Linked DNA regions of Danio rerio. The protein of the gene in region 3 purifies or fractionates together with the protein of the main gene of each other region. This does not show direct contact. Links are inferred from orthologs where the notes say so. Each region holds a gene or a part of one and is shown on either strand. Other genes may lie near its edges. The genes, in order: mcm3l, chd4b, ep300b, foxo3a, cdk1, smarcc1a and irf1b.

Evidence for each region.
Region 1: the proteins of ep300b (region 3) and mcm3l purify together in Homo sapiens (affinity purification with mass spectrometry; 3 studies listed by BioGRID and IntAct, with this or other methods). This does not show direct contact. The link is inferred for Danio rerio from reciprocal best matches to the Homo sapiens genes EP300 and MCM3.
Region 2: the proteins of ep300b (region 3) and chd4b purify together in Homo sapiens (affinity purification with western blotting; 4 studies listed by BioGRID, with this or other methods). This does not show direct contact. The link is inferred for Danio rerio from reciprocal best matches to the Homo sapiens genes EP300 and CHD4.
Region 4: the proteins of ep300b (region 3) and foxo3a purify together in Homo sapiens (affinity purification with western blotting; 3 studies listed by BioGRID and IntAct, with this or other methods). This does not show direct contact. The link is inferred for Danio rerio from reciprocal best matches to the Homo sapiens genes EP300 and FOXO3.
Region 5: the proteins of ep300b (region 3) and cdk1 purify together in Homo sapiens (affinity purification with mass spectrometry; 3 studies listed by BioGRID, with this or other methods). This does not show direct contact. The link is inferred for Danio rerio from reciprocal best matches to the Homo sapiens genes EP300 and CDK1.
Region 6: the proteins of ep300b (region 3) and smarcc1a purify together in Homo sapiens (affinity purification with mass spectrometry; 3 studies listed by BioGRID, with this or other methods). This does not show direct contact. The link is inferred for Danio rerio from reciprocal best matches to the Homo sapiens genes EP300 and SMARCC1.
Region 7: the proteins of ep300b (region 3) and irf1b purify together in Homo sapiens (affinity purification with western blotting; 3 studies listed by BioGRID). This does not show direct contact. The link is inferred for Danio rerio from reciprocal best matches to the Homo sapiens genes EP300 and IRF1.

The regions. Positions count from the first base shown.
Region 1 is NC_133195.1:6,678,002-6,681,501, forward strand, and holds part of mcm3l (MCM3 minichromosome maintenance deficient 3 (S. cerevisiae), like), read right to left. Parts: intron 2,292-3,500; coding exon 2,083-2,291; intron 1,978-2,082; coding exon 1,803-1,977; intron 699-1,802; coding exon 572-698; intron 476-571; coding exon 325-475; intron 1-324. UniProt on the Homo sapiens protein: Acts as a component of the MCM2-7 complex (MCM complex) which is the replicative helicase essential for 'once per cell cycle' DNA replication initiation and elongation in eukaryotic cells.
Region 2 is NC_133191.1:34,963,533-34,967,032, forward strand, and holds part of chd4b (chromodomain-helicase-DNA-binding protein 4), read right to left. Parts: intron 1,814-3,500; coding exon 1,644-1,813; intron 1,120-1,643; coding exon 930-1,119; intron 149-929; coding exon 62-148; intron 1-61. UniProt on the Homo sapiens protein: ATP-dependent chromatin-remodeling factor that binds and distorts nucleosomal DNA. Acts as a component of the histone deacetylase NuRD complex which participates in the remodeling of chromatin.
Region 3 is NC_133178.1:23,768,361-23,771,860, forward strand, and holds part of ep300b (histone acetyltransferase p300), read right to left. Parts: intron 3,164-3,500; coding exon 2,705-3,163; intron 391-2,704; coding exon 157-390; intron 1-156. UniProt on the Homo sapiens protein: Functions as a histone acetyltransferase and regulates transcription via chromatin remodeling. Acetylates all four core histones in nucleosomes. Histone acetylation gives an epigenetic tag for transcriptional activation.
Region 4 is NC_133192.1:7,929,738-7,933,918, reverse strand, and holds the start of foxo3a (forkhead box protein O3a), read right to left. Parts: upstream 2,801-4,181; 5' UTR 2,226-2,800; coding exon 1,656-2,225; intron 1-1,655. UniProt on the Homo sapiens protein: Transcriptional activator that recognizes and binds to the DNA sequence 5'-[AG]TAAA[TC]A-3' and regulates different processes, such as apoptosis and autophagy.
Region 5 is NC_133192.1:22,200,037-22,204,155, reverse strand, and holds the start of cdk1 (cyclin-dependent kinase 1), read right to left. Parts: upstream 2,801-4,119; 5' UTR 2,692-2,800; intron 2,045-2,691; 5' UTR 2,031-2,044; coding exon 1,994-2,030; intron 1,870-1,993; coding exon 1,713-1,869; intron 1,001-1,712; coding exon 877-1,000; intron 569-876; coding exon 398-568; intron 1-397. UniProt on the Homo sapiens protein: Plays a key role in the control of the eukaryotic cell cycle by modulating the centrosome cycle as well as mitotic onset; promotes G2-M transition via association with multiple interphase cyclins.
Region 6 is NC_133191.1:46,881,464-46,884,963, forward strand, and holds part of smarcc1a (SWI/SNF complex subunit SMARCC1), read right to left. Parts: intron 2,648-3,500; coding exon 2,562-2,647; intron 2,473-2,561; coding exon 2,391-2,472; intron 2,034-2,390; coding exon 1,941-2,033; intron 1,857-1,940; coding exon 1,787-1,856; intron 1,687-1,786; coding exon 1,617-1,686; intron 1,108-1,616; coding exon 1,032-1,107; intron 1-1,031. UniProt on the Homo sapiens protein: Involved in transcriptional activation and repression of select genes by chromatin remodeling (alteration of DNA-nucleosome topology).
Region 7 is NC_133196.1:49,886,135-49,890,107, reverse strand, and holds the start of irf1b (interferon regulatory factor 1b), read right to left. Parts: upstream 2,801-3,973; 5' UTR 2,688-2,800; intron 1,923-2,687; 5' UTR 1,918-1,922; coding exon 1,831-1,917; intron 1,743-1,830; coding exon 1,643-1,742; intron 1,393-1,642; coding exon 1,184-1,392; intron 581-1,183; coding exon 481-580; intron 344-480; coding exon 242-343; intron 1-241. UniProt on the Homo sapiens protein: Transcriptional regulator which displays a remarkable functional diversity in the regulation of cellular responses.

The DNA.
Region 1 (3,500 bases), on a different chromosome or scaffold from region 3:
TGGATGCAGTGGTGCAAATGATCTTTAAAAGATTTGTTAAAAAAAAAAATAATAATAAATAGTGGGTTCGCATAAAAATTATCTAAAACTGCATGTAATGTTTCTGTAAAATTTGCAATAATTATTTTATGTTATAAAATAATTGTTTTTAAAATAATTACAGTATATGTTACTCTAATGTCCATATTTGCTTTGCTAGTACCCAAAAGTGTCAATATGTAGATTTAAAGACTTACTCTTCTATACAAAGTCGATTTTACAACATAAAAGTGCCCCAAAAGTCAAGCATAAACCAAAGGTTATACATAAGTGGACATTACAGACCCTTGCAGAGTCACTGTTGACTTGGTCGTGGCTCCGGAGTCTAGAATATTCCTCCGCTATATAGTCTGATGCCTCCTGAGTCAACACTGGCTTCACCAGCTTGGCCACGTGGATGTACTTCCTGATGAACTCCATTGTAACAATCTTCTCCCTTTTCAAAAGGATTATCACAGAAACTCACTCATGCTACGCAACTTTTTTTCTAAGGGAACAAAGACCATTTATAACTAGATGAAGAGAAGCATACCTTTTCTTCCTGTGGCCATGCAGGACATTGTCTTTTTTCTCATAGATCTGCAACTCCTGCTCAGATGCTTCTGTGATGTTTGGGTCTTCTGTGGCGAACACGTCCACTGTACTTCCCAGCGGCATTGCTGTTTGTGCAGACACAATACTATTTAAAACAACATTTCATTTTGTGATTCCAAAGCTGAATTTGTAACATACTTTCTCCGGTCTTAAATATCACAAACCAGTTGTAATACACACTTTTGTCCTTCTTAATTGTCAAGTTGAATTAATTTTCAGTTCTGAATGTAGAAAACTACTATTCCTACTTGAAATTTTTTGTGGAAACTGACATTTTTTGCAAGATTTTTTGAAGAATGGAAGGTCCAAAAGATCACTACATATTTGAAATATTCATATTTAACAATAGTTTTAAACAATGAATGCATTCTTTATGAATAGAAGTAATTATTTCTTTTTTAAATAATAAAAAATTTAAAATCGTATGCCAAACTGTTCAATGGTAGTAGTAGATCACTTTTACTGTACCACAAAAATGAAGCAAATAAATAAATAAATAAATAAATAAATAAATAAATAAATAAATAAATAAATAAATAAATAAATAAATAAATAAATATATATATATATATATATATATATATATATATATATATATATATATATATATATATATATATATATATATATATAAAAATAAATAAAAAGGTTGTGTTTTTACATTTATTCTATACTGGTGAACGCTACATTTGAATAAAGTAGTAAAAAAAAAAATCCTTTGATTAGTGTTTTTCCACCCCATAATTACGACTTCTCTTCTCAGAACTGTAAAAACCAAATAAAATTAAAATGGTGATAAATGTAACTTGCAATTCTAAAGGGGTGGGGGGTGTATACTCAACTGGAGTCAAAAAAAAAAAAGGAAAATTCCATATTTATAAAATGTTAGCACAAAATTGCAAGTTACAAACTCGATTACAAAGTAATAGCTTACAAGAAAAAAAGAAAATTCAGAAATGCAAAAAAAAAAAAAAACAACTTAAAATGTAAACTTGAAATTGTCAATTCTGAGAGAGAAAAAAAACCTATCAAAGTTATCAGCTTGTAATTCCACCATAATTGTTCTTTACAAGCAATTGAACTTATGCCAAACAACAACAAGCTTCTAGCACTTATCTCCACTCATCTCTAGAGGTGGTTGTGTTTTGTCCAGCAGAGGTCAGTCTCACCTGTTCCCTCTGCTTCTCCCGGTGCTCTGTAGCGATGCATACGCAACACATGCTCAGAGATCTCCTTATCACTGTCAGGATCCATCTGATCCAGAACTATGAAGAGCAGATCAAATCTGGAAAGCAAGGAATCCTGGAGCCCGATGTTCTCCATGGGGGTCTTATACTGGTCATACTTGATAAATTAACCCAATTGAACACATTAGAATTAACAGAATATTAAATTCTCAATTCTTAATAGAAAGTACTTATACCAGTCAAGCCACCAATCAATATTTACCCTTCCGTACACTGGATTAGCAGCAGCTAACACACTGCAGCGAGCGTTCAGCCTTGCCTGAATCCCAGCTTTGGAAATGGTGACCCTGCCCTGCTCCATCACTTCATGGATGGCGGTTCGGTCCATGTCTGACATCTTATCAAACTCATCAATGCAAACCACACCTCTGTCAGCAAGCACCATAGCTCCTGCCTCCAGACGGCGCTCACCTGCAACAGCCAGAGGAGAACAGGCACAAATTCATTCTCAGCTTCCTTGCATCATGCTAAATTAAAAAAGAAACACTGCACTTTTTTGGAAATAGGCTCATTTTACAACTCCTGTAAAAAATTTTTAAAAATCCATTCAGCGGATCTCCAGGTCTGGCAGGAGCATTTTTAGCTTAGCATAGATCATTGAATCAGATTAGACCATTAGAATCTCACTCAAATAATAAAAAAAAGTGTTTTGATAATTTTCCAATTATACACTTGACTCTACTTATTCTATTCTTGAGTTACATTGTGTATTGTGGCTGCTGCACTTACAATAATATTATGCAGGGCTGTTACCTAGTTAGCTGTGGACTATTTTCAAGCACTATGTAATATTGTGTTTGCTTCAGGCATGGTATTGAATCAAAGTTCCTTGATTATTATGCTGGATTGAGAGTATAGTTTTTAGCCACATTGACCTAGAAAATAGCAACTTCTTATTTTCTGTTGGTTTTACAACACGCAAGTCGATTCTTTATATATATATATATATATATATATATATATATATATATATATATATATATATATATATATATATATATATATATATATATATATATATATATATATATATATATATATATATATATATATATATATATATATATATATATATATATATCCAGACTGACTGAATGAATTAAAAAAATAATAAAGCTCAGCTGTTTAACTCTACACTCTCAAGAAATAAAGGTACAAGAGCTATCATTGGGAAAGTACCTTTACATATTTGTACCTAAAGCAGCCTTTGTGGTACCTCAAAGATACATATCAGTACCCAAATGCACCTAAAATGTACCTTTGAAGTACTAATATGGACTTTTCAGGTACAAATATGTATCTTTTGTAAAGGTACTTTCCCAGTGACAGCTCTTGTACCTTTATTTCTGAGAGTGTAGAGTTAAACAGCTGAGCTTTATTATTTTTGAATTCATTTAGTCAGTTTTGTTACCTTTTAGCCTCGCATAGACCATTGAATTGGATTTTAACTCAAAAATAAATAAATAAATAAATAAATAAATATAATATCTTGTACCTTTATTTCGTATTTCGAGTGTATGACTTGTAAAAATGAGTCTAACCAGAGCAGGTTGGGCTTAAGGGTTAGTTAACAGCCGGGCTATGTACAGTATGTGTCCCTGGACCAGAAAACCAGTCATA
Region 2 (3,500 bases), on a different chromosome or scaffold from region 3:
AATGTATACATGTACGACAAACTTTTATTAACAAAAATAATGGTTTCAATTTGTTTCTTACCTTCAGATCGTTCATCAAAGTCCTCATCACCCTCTTCTGAAGCCACAGAGTAATCTGATTGGTTATCAGACTGATCATCCTGCCAGTCTGAGAATCCAAATGAGTGGGACAAAATATTTATGAGTATTTGGGTTGACTTGCAGAGGAAATATTTATTTGAAGGGAACAAAACAATTGGGATTCATGCTCACACTCAAAACAGAAAGGTCAAATGTTTAAACAAGACTGGAGTTGATTTCATAAGTTAATATAATATAATATAATATAATATAATATAATATAATATAATATAATATAATATAATATAATATAATATAATATAATATAATATAATATAATATAATATAAACATTTATAATCAATGTGTAACTGCATAATATATCATAAACAATATAATGTAATTATCGGTATAGTATACACTTTAAAACATCTGTCTCTGTCAAATTACTTTAACATTAATTCTAACTTTAACATTATTGTGAAATGTTGAAAGAAAATTCTCAACAAAGACTGCATAATTAAATAAGAATTATTAAAGTGATAAATGATCGACTTTTGAAATGTCAGATAAATTATCACATTACATTTTAGTGCCTAATATACAACATATCTTCCGCATTTAATTTTAAAAGAATATGAGAACATTATTTTAAGAATAAGTCTGCAAACATTTGACTTTTAGTTTATCTATTATCTATTTAAATAATAAACAATAATAAACAGACAAAACACAACACACAAAGAGTAAAGAAATCTTCCAGACCTTGAGATCACACCAATACGTTCGTCTTTATCCACAGCACACGCGCACATACTCACAAACATAAAGGGAAAGAGCAGTAAAAAAGGAAATAAAGTGCGTCTGTACCCCGTCTACTACCTCTGTCCTCCTGTGAACAGTCATTGTAGTTAACAGGTTTGCGTGGCCGTTTGCCTTTGCCCAGATGACGAGCGAGATCTTCCTGCTGCTGCTCGTAATGATGCCGCAGCAGTTTCTCCCAGTAATCAGGATCTACACTCTCCTCCTGCTTAATGATCTCTCTATCCACATCCTCCTCCTGCGAAATACACCATGTTATAACACATGCAGTCAAACAAAAAAATTATTCTGCCACATTTAGTATAGACGGTTATTATTATGAAGGACTAAAGCACACTATAGGTGATGTAAATGAAAAAATATAGTAATTTATGCCATATTATATCCAAATATTCTTCAAAGTAACTTAAAACCAGGATAAAGTGAAGCAGCTTAAGCAGTGAAAAAATATTGAAGATCGGGTTGACAGGGGAGACTACAGGATGTCATTGAGGCTAAAGTAAACCAACAATGTATTGATAATTGTGCAACTATACGCTGTGGTTTTGGTTGATTGTAATCCATTGCATATCATACTTTTCTTTCCATTATCTGACATTATCAAGATAAACTTATTCTGATATTTTATAAGCATTTTATAAGCTAAGGTGAATAAATTGTGATATTGTGAGAAATGTCAAAGATGTCTCAATAAAATTTGGTTCGACTATATATAATACCAAAACAAACCAAGCACAGACAGTGAATCGCACTCAAACTCACCTCCTCATCTTCATCTTTGACCACATATTGGGCCACTTTAAATGAGCTCAAGTATTCATTCATACTCTGCAGTTCTGTGTCCTCCGTTGCGTCTTGGTTTCGATCCAACAAGCGATCAATCGCCTTGTCATCATAGTGAATAACACTGCTGTCTTCTTCTTTATTGTCACCTGGATGGGAGAAATTTATTGAATTTAGAATTGATTTACTTTGTCCCAATCTTGTATTGTGCCCATTTCCATTGATTTCCTATATTTACTTACACAACTCATTTACTTCCCATATTAGTTATTGCTATACATACTTGATGCACTGGCAATGATAAGTATTAAAAACTGATAATGCTTTTCTAACGCAAATCCGTGAGGGAAAGACATAGTGATATGGTAGATAAAAATACAACGGCGCTGATTTAAAGTGAGTGGTAAATAGGTCACAGAGAAGGTGATGCTATTTATTTCAGCCCAAGGCTCAACAATAATAATTTTTGGCTGGCACAGTCAGGCCAATATGTCAGATGTTTACCTTTAACATTTTCCCATCCAGGATCAAATGAATGCCTGCTTCAAAGTACATTCACAAAACTGATTTCATATGCATAGAAAGCACAATAAACAGTTGAATTTTCAACCTGCTTTAAACTACAATGCCAAAATATGGTTGAAATAATGTTCCAGCATCATATTCATGTAAAATAATCCAACATACTTAAGCTGACCTGTACTTTTAAATCATTTAATGAAATGAGAGAACATACATTTTTTTTTATTCTAAATGATAAAACAATTTAAATTGGGTAAAACCTAGTGATAAAAAAATTATAAGGATTTAAAATGGTTATTAAATAATACTCTATTAAAATGGCTATTTAATTATGCTTGACTGTGAGCATAATATTTTGGGACTGCACTGTGATCCTTAAACACTTACTGGATTTTAAGTATTCTAAGTGGATTCAAGTATTTTAATGTCATTTAAAAAGGTTTTAAAATTTGAATCACAGGTAGCTACACTGTATAAACTAATGTTACACTGAACTACATTTTAAAGGGTGTCTTGTGTACTGTATGGTTGTAAAATTCAGATTTACAGGGAAAAATGAAGGCTGTACTATACTTTCCTATGTACTGTCAATACATGTATATGCATGTATATGGTCAAATCCATATTTAGCAGAAACCATTTTAACCTCCTAAAGCATCAGAGTGAAACTGATCTTACTAAAATACACACTCAGGGTGTCATGCTTAGTTTAAACCTCTAAATAACGCTCAACTGAAAGCAGAAGTTCACCTCTACACCATGACAACGTTTATGCATATGAAGTACTGATTAATTCACAAAATAATTCACCCTATTGCTGCGTTCACATCAGATGTGGATGAAGCATCAATCGCGATTTACATACTAAGTAAATTGTTTCGCACAAATTGCTTGAGTGGAAAAATCTGAACTTCTCTTGTAGAGGCATGTTTATGACATAGTGCTTGTCGTTAATGTCCCGAGGGGAAATCCTCTTGCTAACACCGGACAACACTTCATCAAACTGGGCTTGGCACAGTCAGAAGCACCGATGAAAGCCTCCATCTTCCAGGTATAATTTCTGGAGGAGTTGATGTACTCCATTGTTTCCTCTAGGATTTTTTCCAGCTGTGGCGGCAGACTCTGTTGGCCATTTTACACAGATCTACCAATACATGTGTCTTTATTTCATTGACAAATGTCATGGGCGCAGTTTTAAGTTGAGATTGCATTCATGTAATAGCCTACGATTATGTCAATCTCTGCTTGAGCGCCGATTTCTGTTCGTCCACAAAACATCTTGCGCGCCCTCAAATATACGCTGCTCAGGTGCAG
Region 3 (3,500 bases):
GTATAAATGCATGACTACACTCAAGGCATGCACTGTGGGTTATAGCAATCACTCAAACAGAAGTATAATTTAGCCTTAGGGTTAGGGATGGGATAGAAATTAAGCTGGAAAAGAAAGAATCAGTTTTAACATGTAAAAGCTCTTTCCCTCGCTCACCTCTGGTTTCTCCTCAGACTTGATCTCGGTCTGCATGGCGGCCATTTTCCCTGAGGCCTTGTCCTCAGTCTCATTCTCATTCTCTTCCTCTTCATCCTGCTGTTTGACCTCAGTTTTGGAGTCAAGAGGGGCTGTGGGTTCGGATGATGTCAGTTGTGAACTAGGGTCAGCACTGCTGACTGAGGCAGGAGTCGAGGCCTGACCGTCCACAGTCGCAGATGATTTCTGAGAGAGCTGAGGGGTGGTACCACATCAGAACAGCAGATCAGGACAAAAAGCAATGGCACACCGAAATGAAAGGCAACAGCCAAAACAAACCAGCTGTTTCTAAGAAAAATAGCTGAAAATGTAATAATAATTATATATATATATATATATATTTTTTTTTTTTTTGTGGCCTTTTTTAAATAAAGGTACAAAAAATTATAATTTAAGTGATTTATTTTGGTGTTTTAGTTTAATTTGTAAATATTCATTTTTTATTATTATCTACATAACTTTGTCTATTTTAGTACTTTTTAACAATGTTTGATTTATTGTATAATTCTTGTATTGTTTTTTTAAGTTGTTCAGTGACATCAGATGAAAAATAGCCTTCTGGCTAATTCTGGTGCATTTGCAGGAATGCTTATTAATGTACACTGTCCCTGCCAAATAAACAAACAAACATTTGTGGTAAAAACTATCCAACAAATAAAAATAAAAACATTAATTATAAAATATAACCAATTTATTATTTATATACAGTGCTCAGCATATATAAGTACACCCCTGACAAATCAATTTCAATTCAAATTCTGTTTAATAGAGAGCTCTACAATATTATATTTGAGCATATACATTAGATTAGTCAGTACTGAAGCAAAAAGCTGGAGCTTATCTAAAGAAATAACCAAAAATAGCCAAAAACTAGTACACCCAAATTTATATGTTATAGAAAGAAATTAAATACAAATCTAAAAAAAAGGAAAAATCAAGAAAAGCAAAAAAATAAATAAAAATTAAGTTAAAATTTTGTAGATTGAATATTTTTTGCAATATTTTGCTTGAATTTAATTGTATTGTCTATCAATTTCTAAATATGTTTGGTGACTAAAACATTATTTTAATATATATATCTGTTTATTAAATGTGTTTTGTTTAAATGCACCAAAATAGATAGCCTCTATTCATTGAGAAATAGATACAAATATTAATTTTCAAAATTTCAAAACTCAATTATGAAAGAAAGAAAATACTTTTCTTTATTATCTTGATTCTCATCTCTGCTTGATCATTGATTAACTGATTCGCAAGTTCTTTTAAATTCAGCTTCTTCTGCCAGTTGTATTTAGGCTTCATTCATTAATTCATTCTTCTGTCATAGCTGTTAACAAAATGAGTAAGATTTTATTTTCTGCAATAATCCAAAAAGGAATTTGAAAAAAAAAATCTGGATTTTTGCCAATGAATCAGGGTGATGCTAACTGCATCATTTTGGCATGTTTTGTCGTCGTTAACAAACAGGTAATAGTAAATTAAAGTCAGAAGGAATGACTAACAAAACAGTAGCATAGGAGCTGAAGAAAAAAATAGTGGAAAACAGCCATTGGCCAAAAAACAACCTCTCAAATAGCCAAAACTAAAAAGAGATTTTAATGGCTGAATATTTTATAAAGCATCATAGATAATGTAGTGTTCACCACAGATTCCAAAATTAAACCATTTGAAATTTGTAAAATAAAGTGTAAAATGCAGAAAAGGCTTCAACAGAATAAGGTCATACAACATTACACAACATAAGGTCTGTCTTTAAAAGTTTTAGGGTTTTAAAAATGTAAAGTTTCTCTATATATATATAGTGCTTTTACTTATAGAATATTCCCTTTTGCACATTTAAAAAGGTTTAAGAGAGCAAAGAATCCAACACAATCTCAGGGCAATTAGTAATTTGATGTACTGAGAATATTGTATGAATTTATATAACATACAAAAAAAATCAAAAGTCTGACACTTTCATACAATTTTAAAAATTATATTTTAAATAATAATAATAATAATAATAATAATAATAATAATAATAATAATAATAATAATATTATATGCATTCAATTCTAACTAGCCAAGGATTAACCAAAATATAAAATAGCCAATTTTCCAGTGAAATCAGGTTGAAGAATCAACTTAAATGAGCTCAAAATGCTTTAGCGCTTACTCACTGAGTTCATGCTCTTAAATCATTTAATTATAGCCAACTAGTGTAAACAAAGCACATAAGAGATTAATGGTGGAGTTAAGTTATACCACAAGCATTCAAGCACATGGGTCGACTTATACTGAACTCAAATATTTGACCTCTTCACAGTGAAACATGCTCACTTTCTTTATCCAATTTGAATTAATGCTGTTGGTCTCGCTAATACTTTATGCTTCAGGACTCCGTGTCAAAAGGGTCAGTATGTGTTATCGGAAATCAATTAAGTCTCTAATGTTGGGCTTGAGTTGTACTTTCTTGTTATTTACCAAATAAACAGGGTCAAATGAAAACACACTCGATTGTGATACTCACAGGACTATGTGGGTGTGTACAAAGCCCGTGGGCGTTCTGGGAAGGCACAGATGACGCCAGCCCTGTTTGGGGGCCTCCAGTAGCTCCACCTCCATGCGACTGCTGTTGTAACTGACTGGATTTTTCGGAGGCCACCCCCTGTGCCATAGGGGGCAGCTGTGATGCAGGTGGAGCCATAGTGGTGGATGAATTAGGGGTGTGGGGCTGAGGGGTCTGGTTACCAGGCAACTGCGGGGGTGTTTGGTGCGGGGCAGGGGTAGGGGTGAGGCTACGTGCGGGAGAAGGGGAGTTTTGGCGTAAGGGAGGACAGTGCGTGTGCAGACCGGGCTGAGGAGCAGGTGGAGGGTGGTTGGACGGAGGCCCCTGAGGGCCAGCAGCGGCTCCAGAGACTGGGACTGACGACTGGGACTGAGCTACAGGACTATGGACTGATAGTGATGGTGGAGTGGGCATCTGATTCTGAAAAAGACAGAATATAAAAGGATGAATCTGATTGTTTTACAACATTAATAAGTATTTAAAACATTTTCTTTAGTGTTTTAGCTCACTATATAGCTCAATGCATTAGAAATGCTGAAGTGATTGTAAGTTTATGGTTGAGTTCAAGGAATTGGTTTAAAAACAGATTTGAGAGTTCACTTAAAAAAACAGCATTAATACGCCAGTTTGTTTTAAAATGATTCTGTAAATGAATTCTGTGCGTTACTGATTATATTTAGTACATAGGGCTGGGCGACAAAATAGGTATTGGTATTTAATGAGTGAACACGATTGTCAATATTGATCAAAAAAAGTT
Region 4 (4,181 bases), on a different chromosome or scaffold from region 3:
TAGAGCCAATGGGAAGTGGAGGTGGGGACCGAACAGCCAATAGCAGCCCTGACACTCACGATATGCCCATGGTTTCTCTTTTTTTCCCTCATTCAGTGGCAGGCAGATGCAAACACTCTGCAGGACGGCTTTATCTGCACCGAGCACGGATGACTGTTCGATTTGCAAACATATCTAAAGATGTTTTGTTTTTTAAAGCAAATATAAAAGTATTTAAACACATATTTTGTTTTTAAATGTTGCTTTTATCTATGTGTTGCTAATATGCACTGCCTATCAGAATTTTTGCATACAAAATTGCATCTTAAATATGTATAAACAACTTAAAAAGAGCAAATATGTAACTCAAAACCCACTAATCAAGAACTCTTGATGCACAGAGATTGTTTATTAAGGTGGCAAATCATGCTTAAATGTGACAACATCTGCACAACAGCAGCTCAATAGCTTCACATCTGCAGGGATTTCCCGGGGTTATTCTCTAACTCAAATCCAGCTACACTAGGAGTATTCATTAGACTTGATTCCATGTTGGGTAAATTGCTTTTCCAGGCCAAACTAATCCCTGAAATCAAGCAGGGATGAGAGAAAAAGAGACTTGCACACTGGTGGGTTTCAAATGTCATAATAAAAAGAGAAAATGGTGCGATTGTATTGGTTTTATTGATGAAAAACCTCAAATGATCAAACCTCAATACTAGGAAATGAAGAGGCAAGCAGGGGCCATTTTAAAGGTCTTCTTTATCAGTGGCACCTTTCTTTATTTATCTGCTGATACACCCTTTGGCATGAGCACAGCGGTATGAAGTTTATCAGCAAACCACACATTACATGACAAGTGGTCTACGTTTTCATCATCAGACCACCCTACAATTTTTTTTATGATGCCAAAGAGAGAAAACAAGCAATAAATTAATATTTAGAACATAAATACAGCATGTTAACCATAAAATAGGCAATGTATTGGGGGGGATACAAACATTACAATCAAATTTAGGTCATGTTTTGATTAAAAAAAAAAAAAGTTGTATTTTTGTGTTATAATAAAATGGACAAAAGTCATAGGTTAATTATCTGATGAATCCTTTACGGTCTTTGCTTTTGTAGGGTTAAAAAATATGTTTTTTGCTACTTGTAATTGTGGTGGAAAAATTATAATTAATACTTTGAAGGAAATCTGTTTAAAATTATTAATTAAATATGCTTGGCAGCTTTTAAAATAAGCTGGGAAGTCAGAATCTCATTTTTAAGAAAAGAAAAGCAATAATAATAATGACTTAGTCCCTCTTTTAACACCCTCAACCATGTTCCTGGAGGACCACCAACACTGCATGTTTTGGAGGTCTCCCTTGTCACACCCATTACAGGTCTTTCAGTCTCTGCTAATAAACTGATGATCTAAATCAGGTGTGTTTGGTTAAGGAGACAGGGAAAATAGGCAGAGCTGGTGGTCCTCCAGGAACATGGTTGAGAAACACTGCCTTAAACAGTCAAGATATCCTGGGGAGATACATCTCATGAAATTCTAAAGGAATTAAATATTTCAAAAATTAATTTGGACTTCAGTTACTTGCAATCAATATGATATCAAAGGAGTTTTCTGTCTGATAAAGGGTTAAAAGGAAGCCAAGGTTAAAACATTTGACCTGACGTACCTTCCATCCTGCAGAGCTGTTGCTGTCACCTTTGTCCTTGAAGTATGGCACATTTCGGACCATCCAATCATAAATCTGGGCCAGTGTCAGCCTCTTCTCTGGCGAGCTCTCGATGGCTTGGGTGATGAGGTCGGCGTAGGAATAGTTTCCCCAGGCGTTCCTGCGGGCAGAGGATTTTCTGGGCTGCTGAGGAATCAGACCATTGATGCTGGAGTCGCTGCATGCTGCTAGAGCGTGTTGGGAAGATCCAGGAGAGCCATAGATGTCTTTATCATTGGCAGAAGCGTTCGTTTCTATGGCAGGAAGAGCAGCAGCAGAACTCGGGTCTCCTTCTGTGACACTGGCAGGCTTTGATGCGCCTGTAATGTCACCAGATGCACAAGCATCATCAGTGCCATTTTCATCTACCTCTTCTTCAGGAATGATCCCCACATCTGAAGGTTCTGCTTTGCCCGAATTGGACTCGGGTCTGGGCAGAGGCCATGTGCAAGACCTGGGCCTTTTTTGGGGCTCAAAATCAGGGTCTATGTCGACGTCCACAGCCAAAGGCTTATCTAGCTCCTCTGCCATATTTCCTCGACTCCTTCAAATGAATGATGTATGGACGGCTTTTCGGAACACAACAGCAGCAGTGCCCTCGTGCATGCCATTAATGGATCACTTCTGGAGTCCGCATTTCAATACGGGACGCTTTGAGGATTTAATCGAAGTCTTGAGATGATTGGGAATGTTTACAAACGCGTTCGAGGGCATTGTTGGTTCATCCGTGTGTGAATCGCGCGGATATTTAACGTCTAATGAAGCTTCCGTTGTTCGAACACATAAAGGCAGAGCGGACGTTCGAATTTGTTATAATGTTGCATGACGTCGCGCAGCGAATTCGTTACATTGTATCATTACATCATAATGCGAACGTTACATTGTTTCAGAACGCGGCTTCCGTTCTGGGAAATCTTTTGAATCGAATGCGATCAGAAAAACTGTGCGTTCGCGAAAGTGTCCTCGAATGATCAAGCCATACCTCCACAAGCCGCCCCTCCGCAAATCAGCACTGATAAGTCCTAATAGACACACCGTTCATCCCGATAAACCTCCATGATGATCCCTGTTCCATGTCGGAGCAGGACGTCGCGTCCCGCAGCCCGGGCGATCCAGCACTGGCAAAGCCTGTAATGCGCTGCATCTCCGCTGCAAAACTACAGAGAGGAACAGCAACACACAGAACACCCGCCCCCTGGAAGCGGTCGGAGGAACTGCTTCTTAAAGGGCCACGCAGAACTGCCACACACGTCATCTAACGTTACACACATTACACATATGCCATCATCATTATATGCCTCTTGAGGATTGTGATTTATCTTGTTTGTGGTATGCCTATAAAAGATGAAATCACATGTTTGGGTATAAAGATTGTAAATGAGGAAAAGAGAATTTGTGAGAAATTTCTTCATTATTATTGATAAGACAAAGACAACACGAAATCATTGGTTATTATGAGACCTATCTTTGAGAGGGAGAGAGCTTATAACAAAAGCAAAGGAAATCTCAAGACTTATGTATACACCTCTTTCTTTAGCAGTCAACAATAATATTTCCAAAACTATTGATAATATGCTTTTTAATGTTTTATAAAAAAAAAATAAACCCAATTATATAAGGAAATCGGTAGTTATGAACAATTGAAAATGGAGGTTTAAACTTCTTAGATTTGACCACTCTTAAGTATACCTTCAAAATTAACTGGATCAAGCAATTAAAAAACAACAACAACTTCTATATGAAATATTATTCCTCAATGCATTTTCTCACAGTTTGAAGGTCTCTATTTACTTTTACTTTGTAATTATGATATTTTTAAACTGGGGTGCATTTCCCAAAACTATCGTTAGCCAACTAAGTTCGCAAGTTCCGTCGATACAAACATAGTTCGTTAAATTGCCGTTTCCCAAATCCATGGCTCCAACAAACATTCACAAACTGCGATGCAAACTTGAGCACTTGCGACTACACCTCTGGAGCTGTAGTTAGAAACATAGTTCCTGGCTGTATTCTATTCCCACTTATCCCCCCTATGCCCTATTCGTTTAGAACACTCTAAAATTCAAAGTTCGAATTATTAAAAATAAAAAAAGCATTAAGGTCATCTCTCTTAGGTGTAATTTGCCTTCAAAGTATTTTTAAAGTTCAGTTTTAGTGATCTTCATGTTTACAATTGCGCTCACTTCGTAGTGCACTTTGAAAACATTGATGTCATTTTGAACACAGCCTCATGACGAAAGCTATAGGTGACATATTATTTAAAAGCGGAATTTTTGTTACGGCACCAAAGCTTGTGAAAACAAAAACACAGCATACTTTAATGCTTTTAGTTTATAGTAGCTTATTTATTAGGTATCTGTACTGTATATGACATGAGCCTGCTAGTTAGAACTATCTGCAATAGTTTACATGTCAAATTGTAAAAGTAGACTTTTCAAAAAATAAATAAACAATATCCTACTTAATAATAATAATAATAATAATAAT
Region 5 (4,119 bases), on a different chromosome or scaffold from region 3:
ACAATATATGATAAAGTTAATTTAAAAAAGTACAACTAAACAATTTGAAAGATCTCCCTCAAAAACCTTGCATTTATCTTTTAATATATAGGTTATCTTTTTTACTGTCGTATTTAAAACCATTTCTTTCAGCCAGTAACCTATATTTGGTGTACATCCATTTTTCCAATTTAAAGAAATCATAGGTTTAGCTCGAAGAATACATCTATAATACACATTCAGTATTTTCTTTGATTTTCTTAGGGTATAAATGAAGTATATAGTTGACAGAAGATAGTTTGTGTTAAATTTTCACTTATGTCACCTTTACTCAATTACAAAAATGTCTATTTTTTTTTAAGTGTGAATGTAATAGCGGATGGAAATGTGGCCTCCATTGTGGGATGTGTGTACTTACCTCATGAGTATAGACTCTTACTGGGACCCCAAAGGCACGGGCTAAGCCGAAATCTGCCAGTTTAATTACACCTTTATTGTCGATAAGCAGGTTCTGGGGCTTCAGGTCTCGATGCAGAACCCTGCGACAGTGGCAGAACAGAATCCCCTCCAGGATCTGATAAAGGTAACTCTACATAGACAACACACATCAGCACGGTTACTTCAAGATACACATTCAATACTATAGTATAGAATCCAAACACATGCCATTATAAAACATTGAGGAATGTAGTATTTATGTATTTCGGGGCATGAAAGGCACATGAAACAAAATCGTTGTATTTACAGTACCAAAAAAAAAAAAAATAAATAAATAAATAAATAAATAAAAAAAAAAAAAAATATATATATATATATATATATATATATATATATATATATATATATATATATATATATATATATATATATATATAAAATAATAAAAAAAATACACACCTTGACCAACATAGGATCCATGAATTCGCCTGATGGGATGGAGTCCAAATATTTCTTCAGATCCATGGACAGAAACTCAAAAACTAGATATAATTTGGATTCCTGCATCAGCACATCTAGCAGGCTGGGAAAAAGAGAAACACTTTATTTGTAAAAATAGTACATATACTGTCATAGTAAATATGAAAAACAAAAACTGTTTATACTATGATACTAGTAATATACATAAATGTAAACTAAATCAACTTATTAGGATGATTTCTGAAGCACTGAGACTGAAGACTGGAGTAATAATGGTATGTTAGATTGATTTCTGAGGAATAATGAGACTGAAGACTGTAGTAATAATGCTGAAAATTCATCATTTATAACAGACATTAATCTGTGGTAAGACTTCACAATAGTTTTTAATCAAATTAACAAAGCATTGGTAAGCATTAAAAACAGCACCCAAATTTGAGTAGTAGTTTATCAACCTACATACATTTTTAAACTGTGAACCCTTAACAGCATTTTAATGTCATCACACAATTCCTGATATAACAATATGCTGATCAATTTTTTTTGCGAGGTATATTAAATATTGTTAAAATATATTACTTTGTTGTGGGTGATGACATCAATTATCCTGTCATAACTATTTTTATTGTTCAGGACAAATATATTAAACCAAACACATTCCAATGGATAGAGAGTAAAATATAAAGCTGTATTAGACCAACCCGTCTTTAACCCACCACCACAGAGACAGGCATACAAACAGCACTTTCTGTACAGTAAATCTGATTGACTCTAAATTATTTGTTTTGTTAAACATGTAATGAAATCTGTCATACCGTACAACGTTTGGGTGCTGGAGCTCCTTGAGGAGGGAGATTTCTCTGACAGCAGTGCTGGGAACGCCTTCCTCCTCACTCTCCAGACGGATCTTCTTCATCGCCACCACCTGTCCTGTGGTTTTATTCCTGCCCTTATATACTACACCATACGTACCTAAAGAACACACACATATTTACATTAGACATTCACTAAAAACACTCTCAGTTTTATTATTTAGAGACTAGCTAAGAATAATAGTAGCTAATGTAAATGACAATAAGCACAAGATAAATCTTACCTTCACCAATTTTCTCTATCTTCAGATAGTCATCCATTTTCCCCAAACACTCTTTTTTGAAAAAACACAAAGAATAAAAAAAGTAAATTAATGACAGCATAACATGACATTTTCAGAATCATTTTTTTTTTATTTTTAGAAAGAGGAAAAAAAGTCTGGATGCATAATGAAACTTTTCTCTTTATTTTCTTCATTAAACTTGTTCGTTTTTGCTTTAAACTAACTATCTAAAGCAATCAAAGTTACAGTGGATGTCAAATATACACATTATGTGTACCGTTAAAAGACTGACTGAACAGGTCTTAGCTTTTGGCGTTGACATCAAAATCACAACCATTAGATAAAATCCTTTTTCATAATTCCAAAGTCATAATTTTGTGCCTAAAAACCTCGTAACGTCAGACACGTTTTCATGAGAAAAATAAGTAACTTAGCAATGTGGCAACGGAAAATCAAGATGCAGCAGAAACTAGTGCTAAAATCCAATGATCAACCGTCTGTTTTATTTAGGACGTACATTTGCAACGTTAAAATTACATAAACAAAAACATCATTCAGTAAAGTTTACAGTATCAACTTACAGTTAAATGACTAAGTAGTTTTTGCTCAGTTGGGCCCAAACAACTTAATGTTACGCGATCAGAATCAAAATCGTTAACATAACAGTCAATCATCATCATGGATTTTTAAAAACTCACCTTTTCTGTAACTATATCTAATATGGATGAATATCAAACTGTCCTACGTCCAACAGAGTTCTCGAAATTTTAGAGGAATGAAAAAGCTTGCGGATGTTGTGTGTGTGTGTCCTGCTGAATTGCGAGTTCCTTGATTCAAACTGGCCGCGTGGACGTAATTCAAAAGCAGCCAATCAGCGCACTCAGTGGGACTTCAAAATCAACCAATCAGATGATAGAGCGGTTGGGAGCGGGAGGAAAGCGGCGTCTGTGTTGGATAATGTGCGCATGCGCGGCTTGTTGTATATTTAGTTCAAAGTAGTCCTTGTGCAGGTAGGAATAGCGATTTTTACGTTTTTGACAGACACTTGTTGCTGTATATCACTGGTAGTGGGTGTTCAGACGAAACATCTCTAACGTCCTTTAGTTACCCTAAAACCGACATTCTAGTTCATTGCGTTCGTTGCTGCAGTCTTGTGTCTTAAATGTCCTACATTTGTAACGACAAACAACAAACAAATAATGTAATTATTATATTGTGAGTCTCATACAATGGTCACATATTGATTTTGAGTGGTACACAGACGAGCACGCATGCATTACTCTTTTTGACGACTTGGTGTCACTGTTGGACTGTTCTTTTCAGTATTATTTAACCAGATCTCCAACAGATGCTAATTTATATTTACGTTTTTATTTGTTATATGTATATTATATAAAAAGACAGAGAGGGAGACACGTGTAAAATATTGTGTAGAAAAGCTACTTATTAGCTTTTATAATTGGACTATTATTATTATTATTATTATTAGTAGTAGTATTCTAGTTTACATGGTTTGATTTCAGAAAGATTTGATGTGGGGTCACAAAGTAAAAAAACAATTTTTAATAAAGTTTATTTCCCCCCAACAGAACCATTTAAAAGAAGCTCTCAGAAGCCCAATGAAGCATAACTAGGCTGTCTAATTACAGAGAAATAAAGGAGGCTTAGTCCCCGGGATAAAATCTCAATTCCATCCTAAATTCTCAGAGGTAGAGACTTTAATTAAAGAAGTGATTAGTTACAAATTATTACCATGCATATTTGAGCCACTCTGATTGGCTGTAGGAATTGGGATAGAGGAGGTCAAACTAATTTTGGGTGTTTTTTTTAATCAATATTTTTAAAGAATGCTAGTATTCTGTGTTATAAGGGATGTGGTCATTATTCTGTTTTAGACCCTGGTATTTTTATCACCATGTTAAGATTTGTTTTATGATAATGACCGTCAGATTGCGTCAATTTTATGACACAGCGTCTTACCACATAAATAATAAATAGAAATATTGATTTGAACCTTTTTACACTGTTTAACTTTTTAAAAATTATTATTACTGAACATCGTTACATACCAATCTTGTTTTGGGGACATGAAAATATTTTTGAAAATGTTACCGTCTCAGTGTAAA
Region 6 (3,500 bases), on a different chromosome or scaffold from region 3:
TGGAAAAAAAAAAAACATCTGTAATTGTGTATTAAAACAACCTGGGTCCCCACTTTTGTCACAGCCCCTTGGCTTCAACGAACTCATCCCACAAGTTTTTCTAAACTTTTTTACAAAAACTTGCAATTTCTAGCCAGGAACTATTGCCCATTTGGTTATCCCTATGATCATGCATGGATGATCATAACGATGTCTGTACAGGCAAACCAAAATCCCTTTAAAGTGATTCATATTCAACTCAAATGAAACACGCTCTGTGTCTCAAAAAGTTGCATGCGCTCCGCCAGCAAAAGCATGAAGCACGCACCCACAGGCATCCTCTGCAAATACCGTGATGACATCACAACCGTGCACACACTAAAATGAACTAGCGGATGCATCGAGTATAAATCAGCCTTGTGGCATCACTTACAATGCAAATACGTTTCATAATGTAAGGCAGTGGTTCTCAAACTGTGGTACGTGTACCACTAGTGGTACGCGGATATCCTTCTAGTGGTACGCATAGGAATCAATTATGTCATACATGTACATGTTACATATATTTCAAAATTTATCAAAAATAATTTATATATGAATGGATGACATATAGCGTATATTTCTTAGGTCCAGGCAATGTTTCCAGGTGTTTAAGTACAGAACCTACCATTTGTAACCTCTAAAAGCACAATTAAATTTAAATGTTGACGTTTTTAGTTTATTTATTTATTTATTTATTTGTTTTTTACATATAAGCACAGTGCAGTGTTAATGTTCAGACTCTTTATAATGTTTAAAGTGGCTGATAATAATAAATATTCTTAATAATAGGAATAAATGTGCCACATTTTTTAACTGTGATGAGCTGTAGCTGCTTTATTGGGCCCACTTCGCTACTGTATTTCAATACTATTCATTATGGTGGTACTTGGAGAGAATATTTTTTCTGAGGTGGTACTTGATGAAAAAGGTTTGAGAACCACTGATGTAAGGCATCTGAAGAGAGTTTAAACTACTTTATAGACTAACAAAGCATGTATAGGTTCTCTTACCCGCCATGGCTTCTCAGAACTTGGAGGATCCTCAACATCTGCATCCACATCACTTGTTGACACCCATATATCGTAACTACAAGAAGAAGAAAAGTCAACTTTAATGTCAATAAACAATTTTTCTTTATCATGGTCAACAGTACGGGCAAAAGCTTTGTTTTTATACAAACTAACAAATTGGAATTTTGCATTTGCAACAACTCACAAGCACAATTTTCATCCCAAAACTGTTTCTTTTATGAGAAAGGTGGCATGATAGCAGGATGTCTGATGTTTGGACAATGTTGTGAGACGGTAATTTAACAGATTCATTTTGATGCAAGACTTTGATATTTAAAACAACATTTACATTTGTGTGCATTAAAACTGGCGCACTGTTTGTAAAGCTTCCTTCTGAGTTTCTTATTGCATTTGAGAATATATGTTTTAGGCACAAAATTGAGCTCATGCAATTTTCATTAAGCATTATTTATGCATTTCAAAAACATGGATAAAACTAACCACAGAAATGTGCGAAATACTTTATTTTGGGGTGAATTATTCTTTTAAACCTAAAGCATCATTATGCTTTGCAGTACTACAAACCTGTCAGGGTAATATCCCCAGTGAACAAGCACTTGCTTGTCTTTGCGCATAACAGGACGCAGCCATTCCTCTGAAAAGCAGGATTCACAAATTCAGTTTACGAAAAACATCAATTATAAATGACTGAAGAAAAATGACCAAGTTCAGATACTATAACAACCAAAACCAACCTTCCTCCATCTGGGTTGGGGAGGGATAAATAATATGAGTGGCCTTTGACTTGTCTTCAGTGATGGTTCCCTAGATGAGACAGGTAAAACATCAGAAACACCATACGAATTCAAAAAAGCCTTTTCAATCATTACCATTTATTTATTTTTTTACCTGATGTCTCTTAATGATGTCTTTAAGCTTGTTGGCTTGCTTCTGCTCAACGTCAGACACAATGTACACAATAGGTCTGGTCAAAGAGTTGTTCTGCAGGACAAAAGAAAAATACAACATGTAGAAAACCATGAATGTAATATATTCAGAATTATGTAGACCATTTGTATAAAAAAAAAAAAATGAAAGAACTTTTTTTTTGTTTTTATATATATTAAGGTGTTAGTTTGGCTCTTTTAAATCTTTTGGTCCAATTCAAAAATAAGATATACAACTGATCTCAGTTTTAGAAATAAGCCCCAGATTTCCAGGGGTCTTGGTCTGCAAGCCAGGGTTTGAATAGCACTGTTTACAGTCATAAAATAAATGCCAATACCAGGGCAAGCAGAGCCGAGAACCAAACCTGACAGGCATCAACACACCACTTGACGCATGCACAAGAATCTCTACCTGAACAAGAGTCTTTTCAATAGTCATGAACATCTCCACATTTCTATCCATTCTGGATGGGTTCTGAAGATCAAACCTCCTCCTGAGAAAATACAGACAAAGCAATTTTAAGCATACTAGGTTTGTGAACATGACAACAATCAAGTCAACCCTTCCTGAGGTTCAACTCACCAGCCCTGCTCGCTTTTGAATTTGTATGCAGATCCCAAAATGTGGCAAAGGGCTCCTCCAGGTTTGAAGTCCAGAAAGCTCTTTGCCTTGAATGATAGCAACAAATACATAATCAATAACTATATACATTTATTAAAGAAATTGCACCATTTGTATGCATTATAGCTCTATAACAGCCATCCAATAAGTTCTGCTGTTTAATGTGTGACCAAGAACACATTAAAGGGTAAAAATGAAAATACTGCCAGATACTTGCCCTCATGTCATATAAAATTATACTATAAATGATGATCAATATTTATGTGAAGATACCACAATAAATATAGCATATCCATTTTGATGATCCATTCCACCAATCTATTTGTGAGACAATAAATAAGAAAAATAGCCAGATCGATTAAAAGTTCAAATGTTTTTTTGCAAAAATAAACCTCATTACTTATTTGTTGAGCAAAAATGTTTGACTTTCAATGTGCCATATCTGATGTCTTGTTTAATCACACAACACTCTGAAACACTTGATTCTGATTGGTCAGTTGTGACTAAGGTTGTGCAATATAGACAAAACAATAAAACTGCGATATTTTTTCAACGATTATTGCGATTGCGGCAACTGTTTTTGAGTTTTCAAACAAGCTACATACACACATTCTAAATGTATTCATTGCACAATAAGTGCATAACAAAACATTTCACAATGAAATAATATAGTATTAGGTTAAATAAACAAAACTGTAGTAAAATTGTCTTTAAAACAGACAACATATAATAAATGAGGTGATAGTCAAGTGTTGCTCTTCACAAAGTCCCCATAATGCTAAAGCTTTTTTTAAACCTTCAGAAATATTTTCTTCAGTGTGATATTCTGGGAAGAATGCTGTTTGTAAACATCGACTTTTCATTTCAAAGTTGTCATTAATATAGTTGACTGTTAAACTC
Region 7 (3,973 bases), on a different chromosome or scaffold from region 3:
TTACCCTAACTTTACCCTAATTACCCTAGTGAAGCCTTTACATGTCACTGTAAGCTGAACACTAGTGTCTTGAAGAATATCTAGTCTAATATTATGTGCTGTCATCATGGAGAAGAGTACTGTGTGTGTGTGTGTGTGTGTGTGTGTGTGTGTGTGTGTGTGTGTGTGTGTGTTTGTGTGTGTGTGTGTGTGTGTGTGTGTGTGTGTGTGTGTGTGTGTGTGTGTGTGTGTGTGTGATTACCTGTGGAGTGCACTGGAGACACCTGGAATCGAGAGTAGATGTCGTTGCATGTGCTGTCAGGGCCGATCTCCACCTCATACCCAACAGTAGGACTGGAAGTGTCTGCAGGAGAAGACATGAGAACATCAGACTCCAGCTTCACCGCTCAGTCTGCACGTTTGCATATCTCAGAGTGAACTGTCCCCTTTAACACAGATGAGGGAAGCGTCCTCTGCTGCTGTGGGTCTGAACACACTTACGTGGTGTGCTCTGAGTGCTGTCGATGGTGTTCTCCTGGGTCATTTCTGCAGACGTGTCCTCACTGCTCATGTCCTCCAGCTTTACTTTCTGAGACAGACTCTGAATAATAACACACACACACACACACACACGCGCATGTTCAGATCTTCAGTTTAAACACACACACACACCTGATTTGGTCTGATTATTTGACATGCTCTGACTCTGCTTTATATATGTTTATGTTTGTTTTTCTCTGTTTTGATTGGTTGCTGGCATCTTTAAGGACATTTTTTTGTCATAAGTGACTTTATTTAGATTTTTTAAAATTGTTTGTTTAATCTGAAAAGTTCAAGACATTTACACATTTACCAAAAACATAAAAAAAAACATAAAAATGTCTAATATAAACACATTAATAGATATTTATTATTAAAAAAAATAATAATAAATTTGATTTTCACCAAAATTTAAAAAATTTGATAATAAAAATTTTTATTTACACTAAAATTATAATAATTTGATAATAAAAAATTTGATTTACACTAAAATTATAATAATTTGATAATAAAAAAATTAATTTACACCAAAATTATAAAAATCTGATAATAAAAAATTTGATTTACACCAAAATTATTTGGACAAAAATCCCAGAAATGGGATGCTTGAGGTGCTATACCTGACATATGTGTTGTGATTATTATAATAATGCGCTGCGCTCACCTTCATCCGCCGGCGGGAGTCTCGGCTCTTGGATCTCTTGATCTTCTTGCTGACGGCGGGGAGCATGCGGTAAACTCTCACCGCCCCGCAGCCCTTGTTGATGCTTTTATCCTTCACCTCCTCGATATCCGGAAGCGAGTTCATTGCACAGCGGAAATTGGCTTTCCAGGTTTTGGGGTCAGGCTGAGTCACTCCCTCCTTATATTTACCTGAAATGAACAGCACTACGGTCACATCCACTGCTACTGTATAGTGCACTCAGTAGAGCTTTACTAGAGGTCTTTACAACACTCAACACTGCACATGCCGACTCAACAACACTACATATCTGTTGCTTCTCTAGAAAACGCTTCTTGCTTTCAGAATGTTCAGATATTTAGACTCTATGTAAGTGTTAGTTGCAGTGAAGGAAACACTGACAGCAGTGTCACAGGTATAGATGATTGACAGCTCTCTCACCTGTGTGAATGGCCCACTGCTTGAACAGACAGGCATCTTTATCCACCTCCCAGCCGTGCCGAGCTGCGTGTTTCCAGGGGATGGAGAACATCTTCTCCTCCTGCAAACACACACACACACACATCTGTAAAGCTCTGCTGATGCTGGAACAGTGGCTTCTGATGAGTGTGTGCAGCGCTCGGCTTTACCTTGTTGACCCACATGAGTCCATTGATGGTGTTGGAGTCGATCCTGCTCTCCAGCCAGGGGCGCATGCGCATTCTGGACACGGGCATGACTTCTGCAGCACAGAGACAAGTGTAGGATTAGCGGAGCTGCACATGCGCAGATGAGGAGGCGTGTCTGTGGGCGCGCACAGCGCTGAAGAGTGTGTTTAGCTCACACCTCACCACGAGACACTCTGAGTTATTGTGCATTTGTTAAAAGAAAATTAACTTTAGGAATACTTTTGCATTTGTATTTAAAAGTCTGAATATGTGTGCGTGTAAAAGAGAAACATTAAGATTAATTCTGCATTTGTGGAAAATGATGATAAAGAAGAATAAGAGAACACAGACAGAAGGAAACGGTCATGTTTCTTTTGTATTGTATGTAAAGTGTGTTTCCTTTCAATAAAACATATCAAATTAAAAATAGACATTAAGAGTAAGTTCATATTTGTAAAATAACTATATTAAACATTAAGAGTACATCTGCATTCATAAAAAATAAAAACATTTACAATTAATCTGTAAAAGCAGCAGGAAACGCGCTGCTCTGCTAAACAAGAGTTCAGAAATGTCCATTTAACATGCATTCATCACTGACAGACAGAACTGAGAGTCCTCAGAGGGCAGGATGAACAGAAATCTGCACATTATCCACACACACACTTGATTATTTCAACTCAATTCCAAACTAAATGTAAACTGAGTTAATTAAATGCATATGACCAAATTTAACCCAACTTTCGAGCTTGTCCATATTTCATGGAATTGAAGTGAAATAAATACCCAGCATCATATACAGCATATAAGAACACATCAGGCATAATCACAACACTCACCAATAGAGCGAGGGTAAATCCTACAGTGCAGAGCGCAGCGAGAGTTGGCCGTGTGAAGGCGTGAGTAAGTCCTCAGTGAGAAGAACAGCTGAAGTGACTGTGCTGAAGTTCAGGTTAACTGTACTGTGAGCAGGGCTCTGCTGCTGCTGCTGTATATATAGAGCCGAAGACGGCGCGGGGAATTTTCCCTGCTCTAGCAGGCGCATGCGCACACAGGCAGCGCTCCACACAGCGAGGCTGATTTCCGAGAAATCATGCTGTATAAGAGAGAGACGGACTACGTGCGGAAGACAATTCAGTTTGGATAAACACTCTCTCACACACACACACACACACCCTCAGCATACCACAGCAGCATACTGCACACACGCCCACGCGACACACACATATGCGATTATCCCAAACACAACCTCACAATCATCAGTTACACTTCTACAGCACTGTTCATCCACTCATTCATTTCAGCTTAATTCCCTTATTAATCAGGGGTCACCACAGCGGAATGAACCGCCAACTTTTCCAGCACATGTTGATGCCCTTCCAGCTGCAACCCAGTACTGGGGAATCTCCAACAGTGTGTGAAGTTGATGTATTAGAGCTGTGTGTGTGTAGTGGCTCTGTCACTCTGTGAGTGCTATCATGATTCAGACAGCAGGTTAATTCTGCACTGTTCAGTGTGTGAGTGTCTCGTTATGGAGCCGGTATAAAGTGCAGCGGGTCGGGGTTCAGTCTGCAGAAGTCAGTCGGTTTCCGGGAAATGTTGCAGAGTCTGCCGACAGAGGGCGCCGCTGCTCCGGCTCTGCTTCCTGTAAGAGTCTCCGTTTCAAAGAAACCGTGCTGGAAGCCTGACAGCCAGAAGCGTGCTCAGGAGGGTCATGACGGAGCTGCTGGATATGTGTGTGTGCTGCTCTGTGGTATGTTAGGTTTCGAGATGTGTATTTCTCACAGGCCTCAAAACCGTCCAGAACTGCGAGTGGATTTCATTCATTCATTCATTCATTCATTCATTCATTCTTTCATTCATTCATTCATTCATTCATTCATTCATTCATTCATTCTTTCATTCATTCATTCATTCATTCATTCATTCATTCTTTCATTCATTCATTCATCATGCATTCACATGTATATTTGTTTGTTTTGTTTGTATGCATGTATGATTAACTTTGTGTTTGTCCATTAATTCATTCATTTACAAGCATGTTTGTGTGAACGTTCATTCATTCATTTGAATGTTTGTACATCATATCATTATATCATACATATATTATTCACAAATTATACAT